Arabidopsis thaliana: one gene and its partners. The protein of the gene in region 2 purifies or fractionates together with the protein of the main gene of each other region. This does not show direct contact. Each region holds a gene or a part of one and is shown on either strand. Other genes may lie near its edges.

Evidence for each region. The genes of interacting proteins can lie anywhere in the genome.
Region 1: the proteins of EIF3E (region 2) and AT3G04920 fractionate together in Arabidopsis thaliana (co-fractionation; one large-scale study listed by BioGRID). This does not show direct contact.
Region 3: the proteins of EIF3E (region 2) and AT2G44070 fractionate together in Arabidopsis thaliana (co-fractionation; one large-scale study listed by BioGRID). This does not show direct contact.

The regions. Positions count from the first base shown.
Region 1 is NC_003074.8:1,359,082-1,363,054, forward strand, and holds AT3G04920 (Ribosomal protein S24e family protein), read left to right. Parts: upstream 1-1,755; 5' UTR 1,756-1,907; coding exon 1,908-1,979; intron 1,980-2,278; coding exon 2,279-2,320; intron 2,321-2,413; coding exon 2,414-2,584; coding exon of another isoform or gene 2,585-2,638; exon of another isoform or gene 2,639-2,781; coding exon 2,782-2,868; intron 2,869-2,954; coding exon 2,955-2,984; 3' UTR 2,985-3,368; downstream 3,369-3,973. Other genes in the region: AT3G04930 (DNA-binding storekeeper protein-related transcriptional regulator), read left to right, coding at 3,948-3,973.
Region 2 is NC_003074.8:21,195,910-21,201,062, forward strand, and holds EIF3E (eukaryotic translation initiation factor 3E), read right to left. Parts: upstream 3,411-5,153; 5' UTR 3,165-3,410; coding exon 2,945-3,164; intron 2,847-2,944; coding exon 2,692-2,846; intron 2,584-2,691; coding exon 2,356-2,583; intron 2,267-2,355; coding exon 2,145-2,266; intron 1,825-2,144; coding exon 1,605-1,824; intron 1,526-1,604; coding exon 1,383-1,525; intron 1,187-1,382; coding exon 1,049-1,186; intron 977-1,048; coding exon 877-976; 3' UTR 608-876; downstream 1-607. Other genes in the region: INO80 (DNA helicase INO80-like protein), read left to right, coding at 3,703-3,762, 3,967-4,054, 4,159-4,537, 4,659-5,091. UniProt on the Arabidopsis thaliana protein: Component of the eukaryotic translation initiation factor 3 (eIF-3) complex, which is involved in protein synthesis of a specialized repertoire of mRNAs and, together with other initiation factors, stimulates binding of mRNA and methionyl-tRNAi to the 40S ribosome.
Region 3 is NC_003071.7:18,230,260-18,234,614, forward strand, and holds AT2G44070 (NagB/RpiA/CoA transferase-like superfamily protein), read right to left. Parts: upstream 2,372-4,355; 5' UTR 2,211-2,371; coding exon 2,190-2,210; intron 2,073-2,189; coding exon 1,228-2,072; intron 1,149-1,227; exon of another isoform or gene 1,131-1,148; intron 1,121-1,130; coding exon 1,066-1,120; intron 919-1,065; coding exon 838-918; 3' UTR 606-837; downstream 1-605. Other genes in the region: AT2G44065 (Ribosomal protein L2 family), read left to right, coding at 1-109.

The DNA of each region.
Region 1 (3,973 bases), about 20 Mb from region 2:
ATCGATTCCCTTCTGTAGTTTTTTGTTTTGCTTTTTTCTTTAATTTTTTTTTTTTGTTTGTTGCTACATCCGATACATCTTTTTGTTTAGTTGTTTCTTACATTTTGTTGTTTCTTTTAAATAGTTGCATTTTTTTTGTTTTACTTTTCTTCTTAATTTTTCTAAGTAACTGTAAAACTTTGCTTTTTTTCTTTAATTAATCTTTCGTATTCCAATTTAACTTTTGATAAACTTTTAAGATATGTTTCTATATTGTAAAATTAGTAACTACACTTCAATTATATATTTTGTGTAAACTAGTAAATTAGTAAAAATACAATTTTTGTTTGCAGTTTATTTAATATTTATGGTTGAAATTTGTGAAATATATATATATATATATATGTAAATTATATATATATATTAGCATTATTTAATTAATAAAGTAAAATGATATATTTTTAATATCTAATATATGTAATTTAGTATATTTAAAAACCAATAGCTATAATACTTTTAAAACAAATTTTTAATATCTAATATATATAATATATACCCTGTACAAATTCAAACTTGAAAATTTATGTTATACGCGTCAAGAAAATTCAATGGAACTAAAACGAATAAAAAAGATAATGAAAAATGGCAGTAGGGACATACGAAGAATTGAATTAGGTTGACCCATTAAAAGAAGATAACAATAATTGATCTTAATAGTAGATAATAGGCTAAGAAAGCAAAATGGTAAAATGGTCGTTAATTGATGACATGCATGTGGGTATTGAATGTACAGATCAACGTACTTCTATTCGTACCCAACTCCAACACACACTTGTTCAGTGCCAACCATTCTTCTCATATCTTCCCTCCATTCATTTTCTTGTCGGTCCTTATAATCTTTCCCTCAAGATTTTCCTTGTTACTTTATAAATATATTATTTTGTGTCTATCCATTATTATGAATATAATGCAAGAGGGTCTCATCACTACCAGCAACTAATAATCAACGAATAGATGGTGTTATTAAATTTTGTCCTCATATATATATTTGGCGATCTTAAAATTTATACATGTTCCAGCGAATGGTCGAAATCTGATCAGTACAACCTTCAAATGATCTTTTGCGGTGGAAGCCAACTCATTTTAACACACTCGTGGCTTAACAAGATCAAAACATTATATTCTGTTTTATAATAGTTTCTTTTGAGCTTTAATAATTACTCTTCTTTCCCAAAAGTTTCATAATATTTCTTTGCAATAACTCCGGCAAACAATTCTTATTTGTTAAATAGTAAAAGTAACACGTTGACAAGACAAAAAATGATTATTCCCTACATTGTAAGTGTAAAACACCAAAGCACAACGAATAAAATAAAATAAAAGTTTCTTAGCCGTTTGTGTTTTTCTTTTCCCAAAAGTTTATATTAAGTGTCAAAGTACAAGTTAATTAGTTCTAATCAGCTGAACACAACTATACATATACACATTAAACTGTCATTTAGTCTTAAGTGTTTGACATTGGTTAATTCTAACTCAAAATTGCTGAATTCGTAGCATTAATGAACCCCAGTTTTGTGTTATGTACAGAAAATATTGACTCGTGGCGTGGGGGAAACAAAGACTTTAACCAATGTCCAATGACAATTGTTTGTGACACTAGGCTATAAATATTTTAGGCCCAGTGGGCTTCGTTTTATTTTCCCATGTAAATGTTTATTAATCAAACCTAGAAAACCAAACGGCTAGGATTAAGTAAGCCCAAATTAAAAGTTGAGGCCCATACAAAGAGAACACAAAAGAAACCCTAAGGAACTTGTAACTATATAAAAGCTCCGACTTCGATTCGGCGTCTCTTTCCTTCACCTGAGCGGACGAAAACACTCAAGCTTGCAGAGATCTTTCACTTTAATCCTTGAGAAGTAGCAAAAATGGCTGAAAAGGCGGTCACCATCCGAACCAGGAAATTCATGACCAACAGACTTCTCTCCAGGAAGCAGTTCGTGAGTTCCATTATTTTTTTTCTCTTCTCTATCTGCATATCATTTTTGTTCTTCTGGGTTTTGTTTTAATGGGAATCTAGTTATAATTTGATATGAACCCAATCTCGAGAGAATGCATTCGTTGTCTCGTCAAATTTTTATAATTGGGGTTTGATGTTTTAGGTCAGGCTTTCAGATTTACGACCTAATGTTAAAGCATAGATAGTGTTTAGATCATATAGTATTGATCTGGCGCAATTTAGTTCCGTTTGAGATTTTGGAATGAAATTCTAAGTTATGGTGGATTGTTGAAAATATAGGTTATTGATGTTCTTCACCCTGGAAGAGCCAATGTTTCAAAGGTTTGTTCTTTACTCACTTTGTTACTTCATCTATTTCGAGTTCTGATAGACTATGAGAGGTTCTAACGGGAGAGTTGGTTTTATTTTTGCAAGGCTGAGCTGAAGGAGAAGCTAGCAAGGATGTACGAGGTCAAGGATCCAAATGCAATCTTCGTATTCAAATTCAGAACCCACTTTGGAGGTGGTAAATCATCCGGGTTTGGTTTGATCTATGATACTGTTGAGAGCGCTAAGAAGTTTGAACCCAAATACAGACTTATCAGGGTAAATGCTTTTTCCACTCTTGTTTCCATTGTTATATATTGCTACTCACATTGACCCGTCTTAAATCATTACTCTTGCTCATTACTGTTTGTCTGAAAATTATAAGCTATGTGATAAGTTTCGGACTTTATATCGTATTGCACTTGGTGTTCTCTGCATCTTTATACTTAAACATGCTTTGTCTATGTGGTTGGCAGAATGGACTTGACACTAAGATTGAGAAGTCAAGGAAACAAATTAAGGAAAGGAAGAACAGGGCGAAGAAAATCCGTGGTGTTAAGAAGGTATGTATACTGGTTTTCCCTCTTGCTATCTTCTGTTTTTGATTGTGACTGTAGCTTTAAGAATCTGTTTTGATCAATGTTTGCAGACAAAGGCTGGTGATGCCAAGAAGAAGTGAGATCCTGAAGAGAGAATCTTTATCTTGTGGGTTCTTGTTCTCCATAATCAATCACCTTTTATGTTATTTGTCCGCTGTTAGATCGTTTCTCCAACTAGACATGTTTACTGAAATCTGAGATTTTCGTTTATTTTTGTTTTGGTCAGTTTATGTTTTGAGTTTAGAGAAACATATGATCCAAGGTTTTTGTTCAATACAACTATTTAATCTCTCTCTCGTCTCTTTCCACCATTCCCATGCGCAGCAGATATAAGCATTTTCTTGTTCCTTAGGTGATTTAATTCTTGATCGGTTACTCGTGCGGCTGTGTTTGATTGTAAACGTGAGTCTCTCTGGCTATTATCGATGTTATTTACCCACATATAATGAAAATTTACTTAGATCATAATTATGAAATCTCGCAAAGTTTCTAATTTATTATATCACTTTTGCTCCTTACTATTTTAATGGAAAAACTGTGATAATTACATGTCAATCACTGAATTTGAACAGTAATTATAATTTTCTATACCGCACAACATATGCTTATTTTGGTTTTGGGTACTGTCTTATTAGTTACATACGGTTTAGGTTGGCTTGTTTGTTTGTTTTGTCCTAGCTAATCACGTTAATGAAAACGCTCTACCAAATAACCGCGTTTAGAAAACGCTATTAGTTACCGAGTGTGGTTGGGACCGAGTGAGGACGTCACGGCTCCAACCAATCCGCAAATAAGGAAGCGCGTGTGTGTAAGTAGTGGGTGACCACTTTGCCTAGTCTTAAACGTTAAGTCTGGAAATACCAAAACTACCCCTGGTTTGGTCGAAGATTCTCACGCCCCTACCACCCAACCCAATCACAATCCTCGTGAACGAACACACCACCTTCTCTCCAATCTGGATCTGGTTCCTCTTCTTCTTGGTCTCTTCTCCATCTCATCGGAGCTGATCTCGAATTGTTCTCCGTTCATTTGTTACGGTGGAGATGACATCGGATCACCGCGACGCTCT
Region 2 (5,153 bases):
AGAAACCCCTTTATGCTGAAATTTAAAAGCTAAAATCATAAGAATTTTGTTCCGGATCATGTATAATTAAAGTACGGCCAGTTATCTTCCAATTATGAAGCAAAATCTTATTTTTCTGAAATGTTGTGATTGTTTTTGTTGGCAAATTCGGATGGCGGCGACACCAAATGGAAGTTCTATTCAAATCAATCGAATACGTCTTCTCCCATTTCTTGCGAGAGTTTAATGACCATATCTCTTGTTTCATGTCCTTCCCCTCTGATATACACAAACGGTCCTTCATGTTGCTTATAGTAACTCGACCATCAGTGGTAAATGGTATTTTCATACTCGCTTCAAAAGATCCACTGGAAAGATCAAAACACACTATATGCCATTTCCATTGCATGTTGTGTTTCTATTCTTATGTGGTACTCTCTGGAGGGCACCCACCTCCAAAGAAATTGAATTTATCTTCTCTCTTTTGATGACTCTGGCGAGTTGGACTTCTGGAGTAACTTTATACTATTTACGAATTGATATACTTGTTTTGTTTGTGACCTGTTCTTTCCACTGTCATAGTCTTAACTCTTAAGTTTTGTTTTTCTTACTTCTGTTATATGCTATTATTGTACTTACTATTACGCAAATCAGAGATGCTCAATGTAAGGCAGTAATTTACGTTGGCTTGCAAAAACCTTTAAATGCTTAGGGTGGATACAAAATGCTGATTTGGTTGGAAAATGTTCCAATCTGTGGATCCAACATTTCAAATAGAACAACTCCATAATAATCTTTTTCAAAGTAAAAGGTGAACTCAGAGCAAGAAAAAGAAAATAATTCCAGTCAACCGAAGGTGAGTTTTATCAAGGAAAGGCTTCCACAGCAAAATTTTGACTAGCGAGTTGCTTGCGCCTGTGTGTGTTCCAAGAGCTGATTCACTAACTTGTATGTTCGTCCTGATAAGCCTTTGGTGTGGTTTATCAACTGCTCATGCCTGCATAAAGCGGAAACAAGATTAGATTGTAGAATACGAATGATATCATAGATTTAAGCTTATTCTACTTACACGTTGGGCTGAGTAGGCTCCATGATTACAGTTCCTGACTCAGAATCAATCTTGGCATCAAGCTTTGAGGTGCGGATTAGGTTCACAATCCATCTCTCGGCCTCCTCATAGTTCAGATTCAATTTTTCAGCAAGTACCCTGACAAGGGAAATATAGGCTCGACATGAGTACAAAGTTAAACCACAAGACCGCAACAATTCTTCTCAACTTAAATAGCTGGATATGGCAATTTTCATGTGTTGGGAAAGATAAGGAATAGAGAAAATTCCAAACATTGAGCAATCCGGAGAGCAGAGTTATGTGTAAACATATACAACCAAATGTGAGAACTTACCCCATGTCAATCCTTTGATGAATTTTGCAATAGGTTTCAAAGACGAATAGGCGGGCATTTTCAAGAAATTCATCTCTCAGTGGTACAGTTGAAAAGTTTCCATCCTCAACTCGCTTGCCAAGGAATGGATCATTCACAATGACCTACATCATGTTAAAATGTCAGAGTATTGATTGCACAGTTCTGCACAAACAAAAATATCTATACATGTGGATGAGTTACCTCTTCACACTCTTTCATCTTCTTTTGAGCCCCATCAAAGTCATAATTGACAAACACACATGCCAGGAACTCGATAATTGGATCTTTGTAGGAGTAGTGCTCTTGCTGAATGACCTTAATGAATTCTTTCAATTGTGGTCTTCTCCTTTTGTTGACAATGAAAGCAGTTGCCAAGTAGCGCAGCAAGTGTGGAGCACTAGTTTGGATGGCATTCAGATACCTGAAAAAGTAAATCAAATTAGTATACAGAACTGCAGCATGAAAACAAAGTGAATTATTTTTCAGCAAATGCCCATACACAAAGCACAATCTTAAGAATAGGTCTGGATGAAAAGAAGGAGAAGACTCTAAAACTAGTGACTGCTAATTACTTGTAGGCACATCAGGACTAACATTAACTATAAACAAAGTTCTACACACAAACACCACCTATACATAACTTCATCGCATCTAGATCATGCTTATCTTAAAACGCAAGGAAATAGATGGTGATGAAAGGTATAAAGAAGAGATGCAGATAACAGAGAGGTAGAGGCTTACTTGTCTTGGTTAAAAAGATCAATGATCTGTGTCCTTCCATTATCATGGTTAAAAAAGATATACAGACCCCAATGCATCAACCAAATCCTGTTCTGCACCTGGTTTAACGGCGATGAAAAACTCTGAAAAAACAAATGGTAGTTAGCATATATACTCTCACATCTATATTGATTTCAAAGGTCGCAAACTAGAAGAAGTTTTAAATACTAACCTTTGAGTCAATAATCTCTTTGAGACGGTTAAGCTCTTCAAGAGCAATATCCCAGTTTTGCATCAATATTTCAGATGCGAGCTTTCCCCACAAGGCACTCAAACTCCTCTCAAGGTTAGAGCACAGGGTCCTGTACTGGTAAAGATAATCAGCAGCACCAGAATAGTTGCCACATTCAAACTGAAACTTGGCGTACTGGTACAAAGCCTCAATCTGGTCTGGACCAATCTGATAAGACACCAAGCCATATAAGATTTGTGTTCCACAATACACAAACAAAACCAAATCTGGATAACATTTCACAAAATTAAACAACTTAATCATCCAAATCACAACCTGGTAGCGTTCCTTGAGCATTTGGAGATTGTACTGCTTGTCAGCTCTTAGCTCCTGCACAGCGTTAGGGTTCAAAAGAAAAGACACGAGTGGTGCAGCAGCCTCCTCCAAAGATTTGAGCCTAGCGACAACCTCTGTTCTTCTCTCCACCATTTCTATCACCACAAATTTCAACATTCATCATCAAACAAACAAACCAGTACACAAAAACGCAAATTCACAGACATATCCAGAGAGGAATACACAAGAATACCTTGAGGAGCGTCTTCAGTGTGGTAGAGACTCTTGTGAATATCCATGGCGTAATCAACCATGTTCGTCTGGTTCAAAAGCTGGATTTTAGACTTCAGGATCTGCTCATCAGGGTAAAGCTGACGCTCTTGAAGGAACTCGAATATAGGAAACACCAAGTGTCTGTCCAGGTTAGGCGCTATTAGTGGCGTCAGGTCATAGTTCTGTTTGCTTTCCTCCATCGTCGCTAATCTCTCAATCTCCGCCGCTTCCCGCACTGGCAAAATCTTCTTAAGACGGCAGAGATGAAGTTTCAGAGACGACGAGGTAAAAAATCCTGTATATTGAAATTAGGGTTTTCTCGAATATGAGCTTTCAATATTTATAAATTCGCCCCTTTACTTCTTATATATTGTTGTTTACCCCACAAGGTATTTTTATCTCCAAAACGATAACTTAGCCGTCGTTATCTGATCGGCCGGTACCGGAGGGGTTAAGAAAAAATAATAATTAAATGTTTTTTGTGGAGAGGCGCACGGTAAGAAGCTTTATTCGTTTGGCGTATGTTAGTAGTCTGGACTTCTTTCTGTACCGCCTGTGTCCACTAACTTGCGCATGTTCGTCTTTAACCTTTCGCCCTCTTCCTCTATCATACTGGATTAGGGTTCTTCTTCGAGACGAACTCTTTTTCTTTCTCGTGACGAATGTTTCTGTCTAGAAGCTTTTAAGGATTAAGACTCTCCAAAATTTTGACGCCGTGTTATTCTCTTCCCGTCTCTCATGGATCCTTCAAGACGACCACCGAAGGACTCTCCTTACGCGAATCTATTCGATCTCGAGGTCTGTTAGGTCTCAATTTTTTTGTGATTTCCTTGAAATTGATGGTTTGTACTTGTTGGATGATGATCATGTGACTGTGATGAATGTAGTTTTGGTGATTGGAAATCTTGCAATTGTATAGCTTCTCCTTGTTTCTACAGTGTGTTTTTGTTTTACTGTTGAAATTCAGTGTGGGTTTTGTGGCTAAATTCTTCATTCTTGCAGCCGTTGATGAAGTTTAGAATTCCGAAACCTGAAGATGAAGTTGATTATTATGGGAGTAGTAGCCAGGATGAAAGTAGAAGCACTCAAGGTACAGTTTTTAATTGGTTTTATGGAATTACTTTTGCCACCTACTGTGATAGTTTTAAGTGACGTTTATCTGTGTTCTGTCTATATGGTTGGTAATGGTTAAAGGTGGGGTAGTGGCAAACTACAGCAATGGGTCTAAATCGAGAATGAATGCGAGCTCCAAGAAGAGAAAGCGGTGGACAGAAGCTGAGGATGCAGAGGACGATGATGATCTCTACAATCAACATGTTACTGAGGAGCACTACCGATCAATGCTTGGGGAGCATGTACAAAAATTCAAAAATAGGTCCAAGGAGACTCAAGGGAATCCTCCTCATCTGATGGGTTTTCCGGTGCTAAAGAGCAATGTGGGCAGTTACAGAGGTAGGAAACCAGGGAATGATTACCATGGGAGGTTCTATGACATGGACAACTCTCCAAATTTTGCAGCTGATGTGACCCCACATAGGCGAGGAAGCTACCATGATCGTGATATTACACCCAAGTATGTTGATCATATGTTTTTTCATGTTCCATGGGATCCGTGTAACCCTGTGTAATCCGCTTAGATAACTTACGGTGTTGGGTTTCCTAGATTGACACGTTGAATTTTGCATCATTTGCAGGATAGCATATGAACCTTCGTATTTGGACATTGGTGATGGTGTCATCTACAAAATCCCCCCAAGTTATGACAAGCTGGTGGCATCATTAAACTTACCGAGCTTTTCAGACATTCATGTGGAAGAATTTTACTTGAAAGGAACTCTGGATCTGAGATCATTAGCAGAACTGATGGCAAGTGATAAAAGGTCTGGAGTAAGAAGCCGTAATGGAATGGGTGAGCCTCGACCTCAATATGAATCTCTTCAAGCTAGAATGAAGGCCCTGTCACCTTCAAACTCCACCCCAAATTTTAGCCTCAAGGTGTCAGAAGCTGCAATGAATTCTGCCATTCCAGAAGGATCTGCTGGAAGTACTGCACGGACAATTCTGTCTGAGGGTGGTGTTTTACAGGTCCATTACGTGAAGATTCTGGAGAAGGGGGATACATACGAGGTTTGGATTCTGTGGCAGTATTTTATGAATCATAGTTTTGAATCCTTCATGGCTCATTCATG
Region 3 (4,355 bases), on a different chromosome or scaffold from region 2:
AGGAAGGACATCGGTTAGTCCGTGGGGAAAACCGTGTAAAGGCGGTTACAAATCAGCTAGTGTCAAGAAGAAGAAGAAGCGTTTGGCAGAAGCAGCAGCCAAAATGTGATATGGGTGAACAAGTTTCGATTTTCTTCAAACGTTTCTTTCTTTTAAAAAGCCTCCAATGTTATTTGGTTACGTTATTGAATCTGTTTTTTGAGAGTTTTTTAGGCTTCATGAAACTAGAAGATCTTTGATCAGTTGAGAATAAATATGGTTACGTGTTTACTTTTATTAAAAAAAAAAAATCGAATTCAAACGTTTTCATCATAACAACGTTTAAAACAATGCGAATTTCTTTTTTTTATATATATATTAAAATCGTCGAAATCAAATTTGAGAGATTTATATGCTTATACTAGAGAAAAGGGTCTAAAAAGAAAAGAAAAGGAAACAAGAGAAAGAGTCAAAAGGTTGGAACAATATGATGCATTGAATCAATCCCCACGATAAAAAAAAAACATTCAGCAAAAAAAAACATTCAGCACAAATGTCTTCTTTGACTAATTAATTACCCCAAAACATTAATCAAAAAAGTGAAGAAATCAATTTGACATCTTCCTTGGTCTAAACAAACAACCAACTATTGAAAAAGTTCCTTATAGTGGTTTTTGAAAATTGAAACAAAAAACGAGAATGGTATTCTATAGGGAAAATAGTGAAAGAAGCCCACAGAATTGGAATAAGGAATGAGAATTAGATGTAACAAACAACAGAACAGCAACCATGCCTTATAATCTTGGGTCCTACTCCTCCATATCATTTCATTTTTATTCTTACTTCTATTTTGAGCATCTAAATAACAATCTTTGAGCTTTGAAGCAAGTGTTCTTTCTGATATTCTCTTACGATGACAGGCACACTTGTGGGAGGTACCTGAAATATAAAACATGGTCAGTGTTCAATGGTTTGAGATTCTGAATGAGTGGAGAAACTGTGTTGCATGAGTTATGTTTAGGGATGAGATCACTTGATCACCATAATGCTATGTTTTTAATTAAGAGCCGATATGATTAATCTTACCATGCCATAATCTGTGATTATCATGGAAATGTAATCTGAAGGTGTAGCATCATACCTATCATTAGAAAAAAAATCACAAACGGGTTTAGTGGCAGGCAGAGAAGAATAGTATTAACAGAACATATATAGTTTCACTTGTACGATTAACACAAGCTAGCTTACATCAAGTTCAGAAACTTCAGCTTTGCATTGTTGGTCAAGCCATTTAAGTAGTTTATGTCTTCTCTTCCATGAACTTTTGAAATAGCATTTGGATCACCGAGCTCATTGGAGCATATTGAATAATCCAACTGCACCTTCTCATGGAACTTATAGGCTTCGCAACAAACAAGCACAGGAACACGGAAAGCATTAGCCACCATTGCAACACAAGCAGTGCCAACCCTTGAGTAAACTGTTCCGTTAGAAAAAACTGATGAGGCGCCCAAAAACACTTTGGTGACTTGGTGCATGATATATGATATGGCAGTTATATGAGTGTATGTACAGTTAATGCCTCGTTTGATCAATCTACGAAGCAGTAGCTTCCCTTGAAGCTTTGGTCGAGAATCCACCACAAAGACACGAAACTTTTTCCCGAGTTCATGTGCATGCACTAATATCATCTCAATGACAGTGGAAGATCCGTAGGTCAGAAGGACATCACCGTCTCTTATTTTAGTGACAGCATGTTCGACTATCACTGTATCTGCACCTATGATTTTCTCGTTAATGAAACGTTCAATATCTGAGTGAAGAGAAGCTTTTGCTTCAGATTCAGAAAGTGTTATAGGCAGCTTTGCAATCCTGTTTTTCACAAATCGGATTGCGTTTCCCATGCTAATCGAAAGCGGACGGCATTCTATGAGGAAAGAGACGTAGCTACTTATTTGAGCAGTCATGTCTCTATTAAGGGTATTCTCAGGCGGCGTCGAGTAATCTTTAACAACCTCTTGGAATGCTTGGAGCATCGCAATACATCTGGCATTGCCACCAGAAATATCCCAAGAAAGATAATGAAGACCAACCTGATAACCACAACAACGTCATACTCATTCACTAGACAAGTAACATTCATCTTAATGAGCAACCACTTATTAAAACAAAGAGATTATATAATTGTATATTACAAGCACTAACCATACCTTGTACACAGCAGAATGCATAGGGTCAAGAAGTTACGATTTTCTCAAATGCTTCTTCCTTTAAAAAGCCTCAAGGTTTGGTGACGTTATTGAATCTGTTTTTGAGAGTTTTAGGCTTCGTGAAATTGGAGGATCTTTGATCAGTTAAGAATAAATATGGTTAGGTGTTTCCTTTATTTAAATATCATCGATCGAAATCAAACGTTTTCGTCATGACCACGTTTTAAACAATGCGTTTTTTCCTTTTTTTATATACTAAAACTGTCCTAATCAAATTTGAGAGATTTTTATATATATGCTTATGTATTACTAGAGTAGGGCTCAAGTAAAAATTCGAGGAAAGGGTCTAAAAAGTATAATTCAGAAAACGAATAAAAAAGGAAACACGAGAAAGAGTCAAAAGGTTGGAACAATGCATTGAATCAATCCCCACGATAAAAAAAAAAAAAAAAAAGAAACATTCAACACGAATGTCTTCTTTGACTATTATCTATTAACCCAAAACTTTTAGTTATATATACATTTTATCTTTTTGATGAAACTTTGAATGCTGTAGGCTGTAGCAGAGAACAATATATTCTTCAGCAATATTAGTTTTAAGACGTTCACTGATAGATTAGAGTTAGAAATTAGTCGGTATTAAACCAAAAAAAAACACACACTAGTATAATACACTTGACCGCATAATTTTGCTTCCACTTGAAAAGTGAAGAAATCTATTTGACATCTTCCTTGGTCTAAACAAACAAGCAACTATTGAAAAAGTTCCTTATAGTGGTTTTTGAAAATTGAAAAAAAAAAACAAGAATGGTATTCTATAGGGAAATAGTGAAAGAAGCACATAGAATTGGAATTAAGATTGAGAATGAGATGTAACAAACAACAGAGCAGCCAGCCAGCCACCATCCTTGCAAACTTGGGTCCTACTCCTCCATATCAATTCCTCATTTCATCTTTATTCTTACTCTTCTCTTTAATCTTCTAATTAACAATTTTTGAACTTTTCATGTTTTGGTACATAACCAACGAAAAAAGAAACAAGTGACGTACAAAACACAAGAAGAAAATGAAATTATCTTAATTGATTCTGACCTAAAGAATTTAACATTTTCTCTTTCAAATCTTTTGTAGCAAGGGAGGTGAAACGAAAACGAATCATTAAGATACGTGCAATGAATCCAATAACCTCTATGACTAGCAGATGCATGAATTTTATTTTTGTGTTTCTGTTATGCATCTTTTTAGTTGCTTTTTAAGTCTGGTCATATCTTCGCTCAGACTTCACTGATGCAAAGCTGGATACAAAATCGACAAAAGTATATGTCCCCATATATTCCTATCTTTATACTGAAGAAAATATATACTTTAGCTTTATCTATCGCACTACTTTAGTCTTTAGAGTTGATTTATCAATTAGTTCCTAAATCAACTAATGCACATGATTTAATGTAATTAATTGTCTCTTAATTGTACGGATTAGGTGATGAAGATCCACCGTCCACCATGGCTGTAGTACCTAATTAATACCGTGTAAACTTTAAACCACGGGTATTACTTATGATTGTTATTAGAAAATAACATTAGCTTACCTCAAAAAAAATGAGGAATTTGTTTTTGATTTCTAGCAAAAAAAAAATGAAACCAAAAATGATTAGACGACTCTTTTGTTTGTAGACACAATAAATAATATAGAATTTTTGTAAGAAATTAATAGTTTAGAACAATATGCGTGTATTCAAAAAGAATATAATTAAGAATATTTGAAATGATTAAATACCAATATTATTATATTAGTTTATATTTTTAAATCAAATTACTCAATTACAAAAATAATACATTAGAAAATGATTAATTATATTTTTCTAAAGTGTTATAAAGACACCATTTCCTAACGGTATTGATTTTAGATAATAGAAAACAATAATTTGTGAGGAGAAAGTATTTAAAAGAAAACAGAAAAAGAAAATGTATAACGTAGAAGAAAGGTGGCTTTAGATTGGAGAGTTGTACGAGGAATATTAATAAGTCAAGTTGGTCGAGATATGCATTGAATCGATGGGAACGAGCCACGTGACAACGACATGTGCCGTTTCATCCACATTACATACCTTTTGAAATTATTGCTTATTTAATTCTTCTATCAACATTTTTTTTGCTTATACTTAT